2 linked regions of the Macaca fascicularis genome follow. The protein of the gene in region 2 interacts with the protein of the main gene of each other region in a pairwise test. Links are inferred from orthologs where the notes say so. Each region holds a gene or a part of one and is shown on either strand. Other genes may lie near its edges.

Evidence for each region. The genes of interacting proteins can lie anywhere in the genome.
Region 1: the proteins of PNMA1 (region 2) and ATP5PO interact in binary tests that used the Homo sapiens proteins (3 or more experiments, as listed by UniProt). The two-hybrid records come from large-scale screens. The link is inferred for Macaca fascicularis from reciprocal best matches to the Homo sapiens genes PNMA1 and ATP5PO.

Annotation. Positions count from the first base shown.
Region 1 is NC_088377.1:13,018,298-13,025,840, forward strand, and holds part of ATP5PO (ATP synthase peripheral stalk subunit OSCP, mitochondrial), read left to right. Parts: intron 1-2,002; coding exon 2,003-2,132; intron 2,133-3,790; coding exon 3,791-3,903; intron 3,904-7,217; coding exon 7,218-7,304; intron 7,305-7,543. UniProt on the Homo sapiens protein: Subunit OSCP, of the mitochondrial membrane ATP synthase complex (F(1)F(0) ATP synthase or Complex V) that produces ATP from ADP in the presence of a proton gradient across the membrane which is generated by electron transport complexes of the respiratory chain.
Region 2 is NC_088381.1:141,638,600-141,646,869, reverse strand, and holds PNMA1 (paraneoplastic antigen Ma1), read left to right. Parts: upstream 1-3,889; 5' UTR 3,890-4,654; coding exon 4,655-5,716; 3' UTR 5,717-6,514; downstream 6,515-8,270.

The sequences.
Region 1 (7,543 bases), on a different chromosome or scaffold from region 2:
CATGGCGGCATGTGCCTGTAGTCCCAGCTGCTGGGGAGGCTGAGGCAGGAGAATGGCGTGAACCCGGGAGGCGGAGCTTGCAGTGAGCCGAGATCATGCCATTGTACTCCAGCCTGGGTAACAGAACAAGACTCTGTCTCAAAAACAAAAAAAAGATTCTTCATTCCTTAATTCATATGTCTGTAAGTTTTTATTGTTTAGGAAAAACAGTTCATAGGCCAGTTGTATAGAATAATAATTCTTATGTTCTATATTAATCATCGTGTGTATAGTCTATAAGTATTACTGTTCTGTACTGTTTATGTTTTATTCATTTTTCACTTGAGCTTCTGTTGGAACTTCCGTCTTAACAGGCAGAATAATTTTAGCTCCATATTCCTTCCTTGATCCATTTACCTCTGCAGATAATGCTTAAGGTCTTAGCTGGTGTGATAAACTCTTAATGATTCTCACAGAGCCCAGGAACCCAGCCCTGTTGTTGGAGACATTTGGAGGAAGGGCATGCAGGAACAGACGGGGTCTCACACAGGCGTTTTTGGAGGTGATGGTTATTGTCTGCTACTTGTCAGTTATGCCCATTTTAAACAGAAACAATCGTGTTTACAATGGAGAGAATGACTTGGATTGTGGGCATTAGAATGGAGTTTGTCTAAAGCCTGGAAGTCAGTCAAGACATGGAGAAAAAGGGAGGCAATTATCTGAAGACACTCTGAATATTAGCAGAGTTTTGGCATTAAGAGGGAAGGATAATGCAAGCATCATACTCACTGTCCTCTGGATGATGCAGGAGACACAGATAAACATGAAAAACTAGGTAACCCAAATTCCAGAATGCTTTCAATCTGTGTATGCCTGCATTTTTTATGGAAAAATGTCATTTCTGTGGGGTCACTCAAGTGGAAATGTTAGCATTGGATGATAGTATCTGACCAGTATCCTGGATCAGAGACAGGATTCTGGCCAGGAGCCTGGGAGGAGGTGCTAGGAGAGTAATTGAGGCATAGAGAGGTGTGTTAACTGAAGGTGCTTGACTGGAAGCTGCCATTGTTGGTTTGTTGGAACTCTGGAGCAACATGCTGGAAGCTGCACTTGGTCACTGAATGCAGATATTTGTGATATAACAAAATGAGAAGAAGGTCGTTTCCCATGATGGTTGTGCTCCCGTTTTTTGTCCACTCTGTCTCCCAGACTCTTTGGGTCTGGCTGCTCTGGCAGCACCAGAGGTCTCGCAGAATCTGCTGGGTTCCCTGGACACTGTAAGAGGCAGGACCCCTCCAAGGGAGCAGTGAGGAGGCCTCTGCAGTCAGAGCACAGTTTTGAGGTCTGCACTTTAGAAATAGCACTGCTAGAAAAGCCAGACTAATACTCTTAAATACATTAAAATATGCAGTCAAGTGAAGTTTGGCTGCTTAGTGTTTTATAATCTTTCTTGAAAAGCAAAAATAAATTTAAGAAATTTCATACAGTATTTTTAAATTTTTTTGAGGAACATCATTCTATCCTATATAAAATCCTGGTGCAGTGCAGTGTATTCTGAAAGGCCGTCAGAAAATTGTTTGATTATAATATTTTTGTCATAAGTTCTTTGGCAGTGCTAATTTAATTCATAAAATACTTAATTCATAAGAAAGTGTGTGTATGGCCAGGCACAGTGGCTCATGCCTGTAATCGCAGCACTTTGGGAGGCCGAGGTGGGTGGATCACTTGAGGTCAGGAGTTTAAGACCAGCCTGGCCAACATGGCAAAACCCCTTTTCTACTAAAAATACAAAAATTAGTCAGACATGGTGGCGCACACCTGTAATCCCAGCTATCTGGGAGGCTGAGGCAGGAGAATCGCTTGAACCCAGGATGCAGAGGTTGCGTGAGCCAAGATTGTGCCACTGCACTCCAGCCTAGGCGACAGAGCAAGACTTTGTCTCCAAAAAAGAAGAAAGTGTGTGCATGGCACATCCTTCATTTGTGCTCTAAAAAATTTAAGAAATTTTTTTTTACACTTTCAGCAAATCCTGAAGGAACCCAAAGTGGCTGCTTCTGTTTTGAATCCCTATGTGAAGCGTTCTATTAAAGTGAAAAGCCTAAATGACATCACAGCAAAAGAGAGGTTCTCTCCCCTCACCACCAACCTGATCAGTGAGTATTAGAACTTTTTCATTTGAGGTGTCTTAAAACCGTGACTGGAAATGTGGTCCATGGACCATGGGCATCAGCATCACCTGGGAGCCTGTTGGCAGTGAAGAATCTCAGGCCTCACCTGCTGAATCAGAGTCTGCATCTTAAGCAGCTCCCTAAGTGAATTGTTTGCATATTAAAGTGTGAGGAGCACTGTCTAAAGGATGCTAGGACCTAAGCGTGTCTAATTGCATAGTCAGTAGTTTCAACTGTGGAGGCAGCCAATATGATACCTACCAAGAAAATGGTTTGTGGCCTGTGGGTATACCTTGATCCTTGGAGACATTTGCATTCTTGGGTACATTTGGACTGCTTTTCTCTCTTTTTTCTTTTTTTTCTTCATTGAGACAGAGTCTTACTCTGTCACTCAGGCTGGAGTACAGTGGCACGATCTCAGCTCACTGCACCCTCAACCTCCCAGACTCAGGTGCTCCTCCCACCTCAGCCTCCCTAGTAGCTGGGAATACAGGTGCATGCCACCACACCCAGCTAATTTTTTGTATTTTTTGTAGAGATGGGGTTTCTCCATGTTGCCCAGCCTGGTCTTGAACTCCTGGGCTCAAGCCATCTGCCTACCTTGGCTTCCCAAAGTGTTGGGATTACAGGCGTGAGCCACCATGAGGCCTGGATTGCTTTTCAGATCGTCATAGCCAGCTCAAAATAAAAATTGCAAAGAAAGTGTGTTTACGGTATCATCTTTGAATTTGTAGCCAAACGTATAATCTGTAACGTAAATATGAAAATCAGATTGCAAGCTCAGTACAAGAGGTCTGTTGCAGACCTGTATGGGTGAGAACCCCCCATACCTACTAATTTAAATCCTTGTCAGTACAGTCTATTTAAAAAAACAAAATCGAATATGCATTTTAAATAACAAGTTGTATCTTCATTCTTTTTTTTTGAGACTGGGTGTCTCTTTCTGTCACCAAAGCTGGAGTGCAGTGGCACAGTCTCGGCTCACTGCAGCCTCTGCCACCTGAGCTTAAGTGATCCTTCTTCCTCAGCCTCCTGAGTAGCTGGAACTACAAGCATGCCCCACCATGCCCAGCTAACTTTTGAGGTTTTTTTTTTTTTTTTTTTTTTGGTAGAGACGGGGTTTCACCATGTTACCCAGGCTGGTCTCAAAATCCTGGACGCAAGCTGTCTGCCCACCTCGGCCTCCCAAAGTGCTAGGATTATAGGCGTGAGCCACTGCACTCAGCCTCCATTCATATTCTTAAAGGACATTGAATATATTGTGATTTTAAGAGACAAGATCTTACTCTGTCACCCAGGCTGGGGTGCAGTAAGACAATCATAGCACACTGCAGCCTTAAACTCCTAGGCTCAAGCAATCTTCCTGCCTCATCCTCCTGAATAGCTGGGACTCTAGACATGCACCACCAAGCCCTAACGTTTTTTTGTAGAGTTGGGATCTCGCTATGTTGGCTGGTCTTGAACTCATGGCCTCAAGCAATCTTTGCGCCTCAGCCTCCAGTAGTTGGGATTATAGGCATGCACCCCTGAATATGGTGTTTTAAGGCCACACATCTAAGTTTGTTTTTTGGGTTGAGTATACGGCTTCATGAATAACTTGTTCAGGTGAGTTTCGTGTTACTGAGACACCTTCACTCTGCCAGATTTGCTTGCGGAAAATGGTCGCTTAAGCAATGCCCAGGGAGTCGTTTCTGCCTTTTCTACCATGATGAGTGTCCATCGCGGAGAGGTGCCTTGCACGGTGACCACTGCATCTGTAAGTAATGGGTTGCTGCTGTGTTTGCCTTGATATTACATGCGCCACCTTTTGCAGGAAGAAGGAAAAAACAGTAAAATCAAGAAATGGGGAAAGGTCACTTGTCACCTGGGATGTTTGTTTCATTTTTATATCAGCTTCTGTGACCCTTTGCTTTGGAAAAGCCAGCATGTATCTTATTAGTGCTTCTGTAACCAGTGATTTATTCATAAGGCCTGGGTTAAATGTAAAGTACATCAAACTGTGTTAGAAAAGAGTGGTTTAGACTCCATTATATGTTTGAATTATATTATAAATGCCGCTTGAAGTAGTTTACTGAAACTAGAGTTCTAGAGTTTTTTTTGAGACAGTCTCACTTTGTCACCCAGGCTGGAGTGCAGTGACGTGATCACACTTCTGCAGCCTCAACCTTCTGGGCTCAGGTGATCCTCCTGCCTCATCCTCCTGGGTAGCTGGGACTACAGTGCACCCCCACCACACCCAGCTAATTTTTTTGTATTTTTTGTAGAGGTGGGGGTTTTACCGTGTTCTCCAGGCTTGTCTTGAACTTCTGGGCTCAAGTGACTCACCTGCCTCGGCCTCCTAAAGTGCTGGGAATAAAGGTGTAAGCTACCACACCTGGCCTGAAACTAGAGTTGCAAACCTTTCATCTTTTGTGGTGGTGAATGGGAAGGAGTAGAATGGGTGGGCCTTTGTATCTTATATAGAGTGGGCTATAATTAGCTACCATTTATTGAACCCTACTATATGCTGAGTACTTTATTATTTTATTCAGTATCAAAAGATTCATGTGAGATAGAAGTATAATTATCCTCATTTTACAGATGAGGAAGCCGAATGCAGGGAAATGCAGTCACTTGCCCAAAGTCATAGGAGGTGGGACTAGAATTTGAACACAGGCCTCAAGGCCTCTTGGAAATCCATATTCCTTTTACTACACTTCATTGCCTCCATAGAATTAATTTTGTTATTGTCTTAAATACATATTTTCTTCCCTATGTAACTCAGTCAAATGTAATGTAGCTCACTCTACAGGAAAACAGGAGAGTGTGGTAGATTTACTTGGAATTTGTAGCACCTGACCTCATCCAGATTAATAGTTCTAAGTGTTTAAAGGACAGTCTGACCTTCTAGTTAGCACAGATTCAAGGAGAGGCATCCCAGCACATCATACTTATTTGCACATTTGTAGTTCAGTAGTTGGTGCCCACAAAACATGTGCCTGGTTGCAAATCATTACAGCCCAGACATAGGCAGGGAGCCCTCTGTGGCTGCACCGGTTATCCCTAACAGTGTGGCGCAGATTAGAGATTCATCTGCCCCCCAGTCACCCATCATGAAGCACTGGTGCAGGGCATTCTTCAGTGAATACAAGGACATGATTTTCTTTTCTTTTCTTTTCTTCCTTTCTTTTTCTTTCTTTTTTTTTGAGACTGAGTCTCACTCTGGCACCCGGGCTGGAGTGCAGTGGCACAATCTCAGCTCACTGCAACCTCTGCCTCCCAGGTTCAAGCAATTCTCCTGCCTCAGCCTCCCAAGTAGCTGGGATTATGACACCTGCTACCACACCCGGCTAACTCTTTGTATTTTTAGTAGAGACGGGGTTTCACCATGTTGACCAGGCTGGTCTTGAACTCCTGACCTCAGGCAAGCCACCCGCCTTGGCCTCCCAAAGTCCTGGGGCCACAGGTGTGAGCCACCGTGCCCAACCACAAGGACATGATTTTCTTTTAAAGGATACTTACTTTTGCAAAAGATTTTAGAACCAACTGTTACTAATGCTTTTGATGTTGATACTACTGGGTCCGTGAGTCTGTACTGTTTGAAAAACATTATCTTGATGAATGACTAAGAGCACAGGCTTTAGAAATACACAGACTGGTTTTAAATATTGGGACTAGTCTTCACTTGCTGATGTGACCTTAGGTGAGTTTCTTAACCACTCTGATCCTCAGTTCCCTCATATGTAAAATGGGAATAATAACCACTGGCCTTGCAGGGCTGCCCACATGAAGGGAGATAGTAGGTATGAAATGTCTGGCATAGACAGGCACCTGGCAGTTTGTACACGTCTCAGTGGAGGGTATGTATATTTCAGAATTCTGTAACCTTTTAGTCTCAGTAAATAATGTTTTGAATAAGAATAGACTGTGGCCAACAGCACCACCCCCTACCCCCAAAAAAGGATATTGTCAGATCTTTACAAAGACAAATTTTTTTGCTAAATTTTTTTAGGCTCTTGGAGGAGGGGCTAGGGAGGTACGATTTATGACAAGTGAAAAAAGGCCTTTGCAGCAGGGTGTGGTGGCTCACGCTTGTAACCCCAGCATTTTGGGAGACTGAAGCGGGTGGATCACTTGAGGCCAGGAGTTCGAGACCAGCCTGACCAACATGGTAAAACCCCGTCTCTACTCAAAATACAAAAATTAGCCGGGTGTGGTGGCACGCGCCTATAATTCCAGCTACTTGGGAAGCTGAGGCAGGAGAATTGCTTGAACCTGGGAGGCGGAGGCTGCAGTGAGGTGAGATCTCGCCACTGTACTCCAGCCTGGGTGACAGAGCGAGACTCGGTCTCAAAAAAAAGGCCTTTGCTTTAATAGCCTTTTTCATTTTCACCATTATAACACTTAACACTTTAACATTATAACTAACCAGGATTAAGAGTTGGGGCCGAGAGGAGAGTGCAGTCTGCATATTTGAGGTGCTTGCTCTAAAGTAGATTATGGAGCTGAGCTGACTTCAGAAAAAGCCAGCTGCTCCAGGTTCTCTCACTGGGGTTCAGAGAGTGGAGTGGCCTGCCAGAGTTCCAGGTAGCTGTGGATGCGGGGAGATGAACAGCCAGCAGAGCTAGGGAAACATGAAGATGTAAAACCAGGTTAAAATGGCAACTTTTCACCCAAGGACATGATAGGTGCATGTTGTGACCCCAGGGCTGCCCCAGGAGGGGCCTGCGTCCTCCTGCATTGGTGGGGCTGTGTCTTCAGGCATTAGAAACTTGAGGGCCTTTCCTTGTTAATTCCAGGTTGTACTGCTAGCACACAGAGCAGAGGCAGGGAGGAAGTGGCATTTATAGGCAGTCCATGAATGACCGAGTGGGAGCTGCCCAGGTGATGCTGTGAGGCAGGGCCTTCCTGTGCTCCCTGAACCTCCAGCGCGAACAAGGAGTGAACGCTGCAGAGCAGCTCCATGATGGGCCCAGGTGGCTAAGGGAGGCGCTCACAAGGCCTGTCTTGGTGATGTGGGCCTGGAGTCTTTTAACTCTGGAAGTTTCTGTTTTGCTTTATCTAAATTGAAAGGGTGGTTTTGCCTTTCAGCCTTTAGAAGAAGCCACACTCTCTGAATTAAAAACTGTCCTCAAGAGCTTCCTGAGTCAAGGCCAAGTATTGAAATTGGAGGCTAAGGTGGGTTTTAAATTATTTATGGTATGTTTCCTCAGGTTCTTTTAAACTTAAAATGGCTACAGAAAGTACTAGTGAAATATTAGATCTAACTCTATACTAATTTTTCTGTAGTTAAAAGTTTGTCTTTATTTTAAATGTAAATGATGATCTGACTGTGCAGTTTTACTTTTGCCTTTTTCTAGGTGTAATTATAGCCTCTCACATTTGTGTAGCACATTGAGCCTTTCAGAACACTTGTG
Region 2 (8,270 bases):
CATGACCGTGCCCTGAGTGGCCACCTCCTCTTTGGGAGGGAGGCCGCGACAGGTACTCTCCCTTTGCTGCTTGCTGGCGGCGCTGCTGGGCCTACAAAGTTTTCTCGGCGTTGGGGAAGGGGCTAACGTTCTTGTCCAAAGCACTCATCTTGCTGCAGGGAAGGGAGCTGTGCAGAGGCTGGAAGCTGCAGAGTTAGGCCGGAGAGAGCTTTTGACAAGCCTAGCTGTTTCTGCTTCCCACCTTTTTTGCCAAATACCTTTGGGTCCTGGAGGCTGCCAAGGGCGCTCCGCCTTGAGCAGGTCCCAGAGAGGCTCAGCCTGCCCGTCCTGGGAGCCAGCGTCCTTGCCTCTGCCCTGACCTCAGCAGCTACACCTAACCCCACCGCACCCCACCCAGTGTCGATATCCACAACCCAGCCCCCAGGCCTGCACGCTGGAGATTTCTGGATCCTTCCCTAGGAGGGAGAGGTCTCCTAACTCGATTGGACAGGAGCCTTCATTCCTTGACTCGTGTCATTTGGGAGCTATTTATTTATTCTTAGTATTTAATTTTTAACATCCTCTCAGGGACCAGGGGCCTCCTGCTTTTCAGAGGCCCAAGTGCATTTATCCCAAAACGAGGCATCTTGACATCCCCCATCCCCCCCGAATTCCCGAGGCCCTAAGGTCCCTCACCTGGTTGCTCTGGAAGCTCTTGCCGGTAGGAATGATAGCAACACTGGAAGAGGGTGGGAAGGTGGAGGGTGTCACCAAAGCCACACAGAGCAAGGGAGATCAAAGGCAGTTCTTGCTGCCCCTTCTCTGGCTGTGCTTTGCCTAAGGGAATTGGCAACAGGCCAGGATTCTAATTTGGTTTATGGGGCCTGGATTGTGGTTTGAAGAAGCCATATTTGGCATGGGTGAAGTGAAAGGGCCAGGAGGTTCTGGAGGCCCCTTCACGTCCAGTCCCATAGCGGGGCTAGAGCGGGGCTCAGCTGTTTTTCTGATCTTACTCAACTGAGTTGTGCAAAAGAAATTCTAAGTGAATGCGCGTATGACAGGTCAATGTATTAGGAAGGAGCCAGAAAGTATTCATACTGCTACTCCTTACGAGATAGCCAAGAAGCGTCAGGTCAGTAACTGGGAGTGGAGAGGGAGTTTTGTTTTGAAACTGTGCACTGTGAGGTATTTTTCAGCATCCATTTATACATTAATGTGGTTCTACAGGACCCCGGCTGTGGAAGTAACAAATTTCTTCTCCCTCCAGACTCTTGGATGACTACCTACATCCCCAACTTCCCGGTTAGTTTCCTCCACAGGTTTCCATGAGCTCAGTATCCCAAGACAGCAAAAATCTGGTATACCCTGTAGAAGCAGGGGGGTAGCAAATTTAGGCTCTCTTCGAAATTACTTGTATAATACGAGTGCCTTCGCAGCTTAGCCCCAAAGTGCTACTTACGTTTCCCAAGGTTTTTTCTATTCAAACCATATTTGGTTTCAGTCCCCTTTATGGACATAGGGTAACAGAAACCTCCATCATTCAGGAGACCCTTTTGTTCAGTGGTAACATCTTGTACTTGGAAAAAAAATTTTTTTTTTTTTTGCGACAGAGTCCCATTCTGTCGCCCAGGCTGGAGTGCAGTGGTGCGATCTCGGCTCACTGCAACCTCTGCCTCTCGGGTTAAAGGATTCTCCTGCTTCAGCCTCCTGAGTAGCTGGGATTACAGGCACACACCACCACACCCAGCTAATATTTTTGTATGTTTTTTTTTTTAGTAGAGACGGGGTTTTGCCATGTTGGACAGGCTGGTCTTGAACTCCTGACCTTAGGTGATCCACTCGCCTCGGCCTCCCAAAGTGCTGGCATTACAGGCGTGAACCACCGCGCCCGGCCGTAAATGTTTAAACAAGAAAGTGATTCTACTCTTCTAAGCTTACAGAGACCAGACCCGGTGAATGTAACTGGGGAAAATCAAGATGGTACCTCTCTGCATTAATCCTGCCAGACACCATATTTTAGGAAGGTCCATGCTCCAGGATGCATTCATGTCTTGGATACAGTGTGAAAATTAAAAAGTTTAGAGGGTAGATGTAATTGTGGCAAGTGACTTGCCAATAAAGTAGGTGCAGCTATAGAAGCTGGCATAGGTATATCCTTAATGGTGCTTTCTCCCTGGGCTTGTCTCTTGTTGTTTTTTTCCCTATATTCAGAGCTCTGAGAAGTGATAAACACCTCCAGCTTTCTTAACATCCTCCCCACACCATCTCACCATATCCATCTCCCAGCATCCATCTGCATTCAGCTAAGGGCGGGAAACTGACCTAGTGCCTGTGCTGCAGACCATTTCTGAGGTCTCCACCCATCCAAGGAGGCAGAGCCATCATTACTGTCCTCCATGCCTTCAGCAGCCCCCCTCACAGCTAAGGTACATACCACCCCTTCTGCCGCGCCCCCTTCCACTCCTGGCACCAAGGTCTTTTGCTGCTTATGTCTAAAGGGATCGCCTATATTTAACTGCCTCAGTGACCTAACCTCTTTCTTCTCATGTGCCAGATGTTAAGATGAAGGAGGAATACAACACATGCTCAAGCCTCAGCTGTTTAGTTGTTTTCACTGGGGCTCGCTTTTCTGGGACGGTATTTATTATCAGACTGGCAAGCCTAACTCCATAGGTTTACAGGAAGTAGGGATATTTTTATAAAACAATTGTGTCCTCCCCACATTTTGCTATGTTAATATTTGCCTCTAACAATTTGCAGCTGTTTCACTTTTTCCTCATTTGTCTCTAAGTTGAAGGCCTTGTTGGAGGGGACAGAGCACAGGAACAGCCTTGACAGTCTGTAATTATTGTACAAATATTTTAATAGCATATAAATAAGTATATTCCTTTTATTTTGAAACAAAAATGATCAGACACTGCCTTTTGTGTGTTTGCTGCCTGTGGCACCCTTTTTGAAAAAGACTGTTACATATTAAAATAGTGTACATACATATAAATATTACCTCTTTTGCTGTACAGTTGTGATAGAGACTGAAGATTTTATTTTTTGTGTGCTTTTTATAAGAAAAAATTAATACACTAAAGAATCTTGCTGATGTGATTGTAATGTACCTATGTAACTTATTTACTTTTGAATGTTCTTCTGTATCTTTAAACCTTTTATTAAATAAGGTTTTAAAAATTCAGAGTTGAATGCTATGTTCTCTCGGGATTTTCACCATCTGGGGTTGATGTAAGTGGGCCTTGTCTTGCTTGCAGGGAGATTACTCGACATTTTTGAGCCATAAGGATTCTCTTTTAGCAGCCTATTGTCGATGCCAGCCAGGAAAAGGAAAATAACACTAATGTTTGCCTGGCTAAAAGATGACTCAGTAGACACAGACAAACAGATGTTTACAAAAGTTTAGACAAGAAAAAGTCTAAACTCAGTATCTCACACAAAAAATGGCGCACTCCGGCTTCATTGGGATAAAATATGCAGGGTGCACAGTGTGGTCAGGGGTAACGGGAAGCCAGGGTTCTGAGGAGAGTATTTTCACGTGCAGGGTGGACTGGCTGGGCAACCCGAGTAGACAAGTCCACCATGAGGGATGCCATGACTTCCAATAGTATCATCTTAAATGCACTCCAGGATTGGGTTATTATTTTTAAAACACGGTGCTTAGCAGTATTTGTTTGCTGTTAAAATGGAAAATTATGAAAAAGGAAATGCGCCATCAGAGAAACAAATGCCCAAGCCCCTCGCTGGCACCATGGCAACCGCTCGACCCCCGCGGGCCGCCGGAGCAGGCGTGATTCGCGCCAGCTGGGGCGCCGTTGCCATGGCGACGCCCGAGCGGCTCCGCCGCGGGGGCGGGACGGGGCGGGGCTGACGCCGCTCGCGGGCTGGCCCCATCCTCCACTGCAGCAGTAACGTCGCAGCGGGTTGCGGGTAGGACTCGACGCTGGGGCAGCCGCGCAGCGCCTGAGCCGCTGCAGGCCGCCGCGGCCGCCGCTGCCCACCCTTGCCTGTGCTGTTTCCAGCCTCGCTTCTCCGGCTTTCCTGCTCCTCTGCTGCCTTCGTTTCTGGTCCTCGGCCGTCCTCGCCGCCCGCCCAGAGGAGTCCCCGCGCCCGCCAAGAGGAGTCCCCACGCCCTCCAAGAAGCCGCTCTCCGCTGGCCCGCAGCCGCCGCGACTTCGGCACAGTCTCTCCCTCTGGCTAGTCTCCCAAACGGCCGCTCCTCGCCCGCGGGAAGACCGGGCTGCGACCGCGAACGCCCGATCCTCTCCAGGAGCCGCAGCGAGCGCCCGGCGGGCACGCCCCGCGACCACACCCCGGCTGCTTTCGACCCAGCGCGCCTGCCTTCGCCGCCCGCCCTCGCTCCTTGCCCGCTGCACGACGACGCGACAGCCCGGCTGCAAGCGGCAGACCCGACCGGACCCGGACCCAGACGCAAGATGGCGACGGCCGCGTGACTTCCTCAGCGTCCCCGAGCTCAGCTCCAAGTGTACCTACGGACTGACTGGGGGGGCAGAGAAGGGCGAGATCAGGACTCTGTGTCTTTGTTAGTCGTGAATGCATGAAGCCTACCTCCCTTGGGCCTATTTGGTGGGAGTGTCTGGTATTGTTCTAAGGCCAGGAGTACGGTGAGCCACAGTCTGTTGGTAGAATTGGCGTCTTGATAGTTGAGAAAATGGCGATGACACTGTTGGAAGACTGGTGCCGGGGGATGGATGTGAACTCCCAGAGAGCTCTGTTGGTCTGGGGCATCCCAGTGAACTGTGATGAGGCTGAAATCGAAGAGACCCTCCAGGCAGCGATGCCCCAGGTCCCCTACCGAATGCTTGGGAGAATGTTCTGGAGGGAAGAAAATGCGAAAGCAGCCTTATTAGAGCTCACTGGCGCTGTCGATTACGCCGCGATCCCCAGGGAGATGCCGGGCAAAGGAGGGGTCTGGAAAGTGTTGTTTAAGCCCCCAACTTCTGATGCTGAATTTTTAGAAAGATTGCACCTCTTCCTAGCTAGAGAGGGGTGGACCGTGCAAGATGTTGCGCGTGTCCTTGGGTTTCAGAACCCTACTCCGACCCCGGGCCCAGAGATGCCAGCAGAGATGCTAAACTATATTTTGGATAATGTTATTCAGCCTCTTGTTGAGTCCATATGGTACAAGAGGCTGACACTTTTCTCGGGGAGGGACATCCCAGGGCCTGGAGAGGAAACCTTTGATCCCTGGCTGGAGCACACTAATGAGGTCCTAGAGGAGTGGCAGGTGTCCGATGTAGAAAAGAGGCGGCGGTTGATGGAGAGCCTTAGAGGCCCTGCCGCTGATGTCATTCGCATCCTCAAGTCCAACAACCCCGCGATAACCACTGCCGAATGCCTGAAGGCGCTTGAGCAGGTGTTTGGGAGCGTTGAGAGCTCTAGGGATGCCCAGATCAAATTTCTGAACACTTATCAGAACCCGGGAGAAAAATTGTCTGCTTATGTCATTCGTCTGGAGCCTCTGCTACAGAAGGTGGTAGAGAAGGGGGCCATTGATAAAGATAACGTGAACCAGGCCCGCCTAGAGCAGGTCATTGCTGGGGCCAACCACAGCGGGGCCATCCGAAGGCAGCTGTGGCTTACCGGGGCTGGGGAAGGGCCGGCCCCAAACCTCTTTCAGTTGCTGGTGCAGATCCGTGAGGAGGAAGCCAAGGAGGAGGAGGAGGAGGCTGAGGCCACCCTTCTGCAGTTAGGCCTGGAAGGGCACTTCTGAGTGCCAGAAAAGACAGCTTTAGTGCAGACCTAGATCACAGCTAGTTTTCTTGTCCCTGTGGGGGTCTTACAGATGTGTCTCTGAGTAGTAAAGGCTTAGCCCTGTTCCGTTTTGTTGTTTTTTTGGAGGGGAAGGTTAGTCAGGCCTGAGTATTCATGTAACATTCTAAAATTGTGCAAGCGAGCACCGTGAGCTGCTACAATGCAAGTGGGTCTTGCTGGCTAAAGTGCCAGGTAAAGGGTTGGTTGGACACAGCGCTTAGTGCACGCTGTCATCATGGACATCATAATCAGTTGTGAAAAACACACGAACCTCTGACACTTCCTATTCCACACTGAATGTGAAATTGCATGTGCAGATGTTTACTACGGGGCCTGGCTCACAGGAAGTGTTCAGTAAAAGTATGAACTATTAGATTACTGATAGCGCAGATAGATTTTTCTTTACCATAAATAGTTCCAGATTTATATTGATGGAAGGAAATGTGCATTTATTAGCTATTACTCAACTTTACAATGCAAACATCATATTTCTCATCTTTAAACATGTCGATCAGTTTAATTGAAAAGTATTCTGAGACTGCAAAATGGGGTGTTAAAAAAATACTGCAATTACGGAGCTGTGTAAACCAGTTTCTCATTGCATAAGATACAGATGTAAATTGCATGGAGAGGTTGATATGCACCTGTACAGTAATTCACTTCCCCATTTCAGATCTTTGTCAGAGAATAGTTCTTGTTCATACTGAGTGTTCTAAATTTGAAGTTATATATACAAATTAAAATATTTTAAAAATTCTGTTGTCTTCTCATTTTTCTGGCATGTATAAACATTTTTAGCCTAAGTAAACTCTGTCCTTTTTTCTTATGAAGACTTTGTCATTAAACCATTTATTTTACTCTTAAGCTTTGTATGATACTATGTGAATTTAAATGGCAAGTCCTTTTTTTTCCTTCCCCTCTTGCTGTCATCTTAACATTTTTTTGGTTTATTTTTTAATTTTTTAAATTTTTTATTTTTATTAAGGGCAGAGAGGGTCTTGCTCTGTTGCCCAGGCTGGAGTGCAATGGAGCGATCTCAGCTCACTGCAACGTCTGCCTCCCGGATTCAAGTGATTCTCCTGCCTCAGCCTCCTGAGTAGCTGGGATTACAGGCATGTGCCACCACACCTAGCTAATTTTGTATTTTTTTTAGTAGAGATGGGTTTCACCACGTTGGTCAGGTTGGTCTGGAACGCCTGACCTCAAGTGATCCACCTGCCTCGGCTTCCCAAAGTGCTGGGATTACAGGCATGAGCCATCTAGTTTTTTCTACTAAAAATACAAAAATTAGCCGGGTGTGGTGGTGGGTGCCTTTAATTCCGGCTACTTGGGAAGCTGAGGCAGGAGAATCACTCTGGGAGGCAGAGGTTGCAGTGAGCCGAGATTGCGCCACTGCACTGCAGCCTGGGCAACAGAGTGAGACTCTTGTCTCAAAAAAAAAAAAAAAATCTAGGCCGGGCGCGGTGGCTCACGCCTGTAATCCCAGCACTTTGGGAGGCCGAGGCGGGCGGATCACAAGGTCAGGATATCGAGACCACGGTGAAACCCCGTCTCTACTAAAAATACAAAAAATTAGCCGGGCGCGGTTGTGGGCGCCTGTAGTCCCAGCTACTCGGGAGGCTGAGGCAGGAGAATGGCGTGAACCCGGGAGGCGGAGCTTGCAGTGAGCCGAGATCGCGCCACTGCACTCCAGCCTGGGCGACAGAGCGAGACTCCGTCTCAAAAAAAAAAAAAAAAAAATTTAGAGACCAGATATGGTGGCTCACACTTGTAATCCCAGCACTTAGGGAGGATTGCCTGAAGCCAAGATTTTGAGACCAGCCTGGGCAACACAGACCCAATCTCCACATACATTTTTAAAAATTAGCCAGGCATGGTGGCACAGGCCTGTGGTCCCAGCAGCTCAGGCAGCTGAGGTGGGAGATTGCTTGAGCTCAGGAGGTTGAGGCTGCAGTGCGCCATGATCGCCCCACCGCACTCCAACCTGGTGATAAAGTGAGACCCTGTTTCTCAAAAAATTTTTTTTAGAAAATCTTGAAATGGGGTTCAGGAGGTTATCTGGCAATGTTTTTCTCTTAAGATCACTTTTCAGCTAAACATTTTATTTCACTGAAGAAATAACTATAATTCATCACACCTGTGTAAAATGACGGCTTATTTTACAGCAGCCATTTATAACAGGAAGATATAAAAAGGGAAATACAGCTATAAAACATGTTTTTTTTGAGGCAAAGATTCAGTGATTGAAGATATCCATCTTTTGAGGTCCTCAGTGAATCTAAAGTTACTACATGAATATTGTGTTCAGTGAGCTTTTCCCTAATAAGGTTTTAAAATTATAGCTGAGCCATTCGACAAGTTTATAAGGGGTAATGTATGTTCTTCCAGATTTTTCGGTGCACATATTCGCTTCACGTCTGTACATCCCTTTCCTCCTGTCACAAACACATCTCCACATACTTGCCTTGGTTCCCAACAGATACGCTCAGCTTCACTTACCACAAACACTCGGC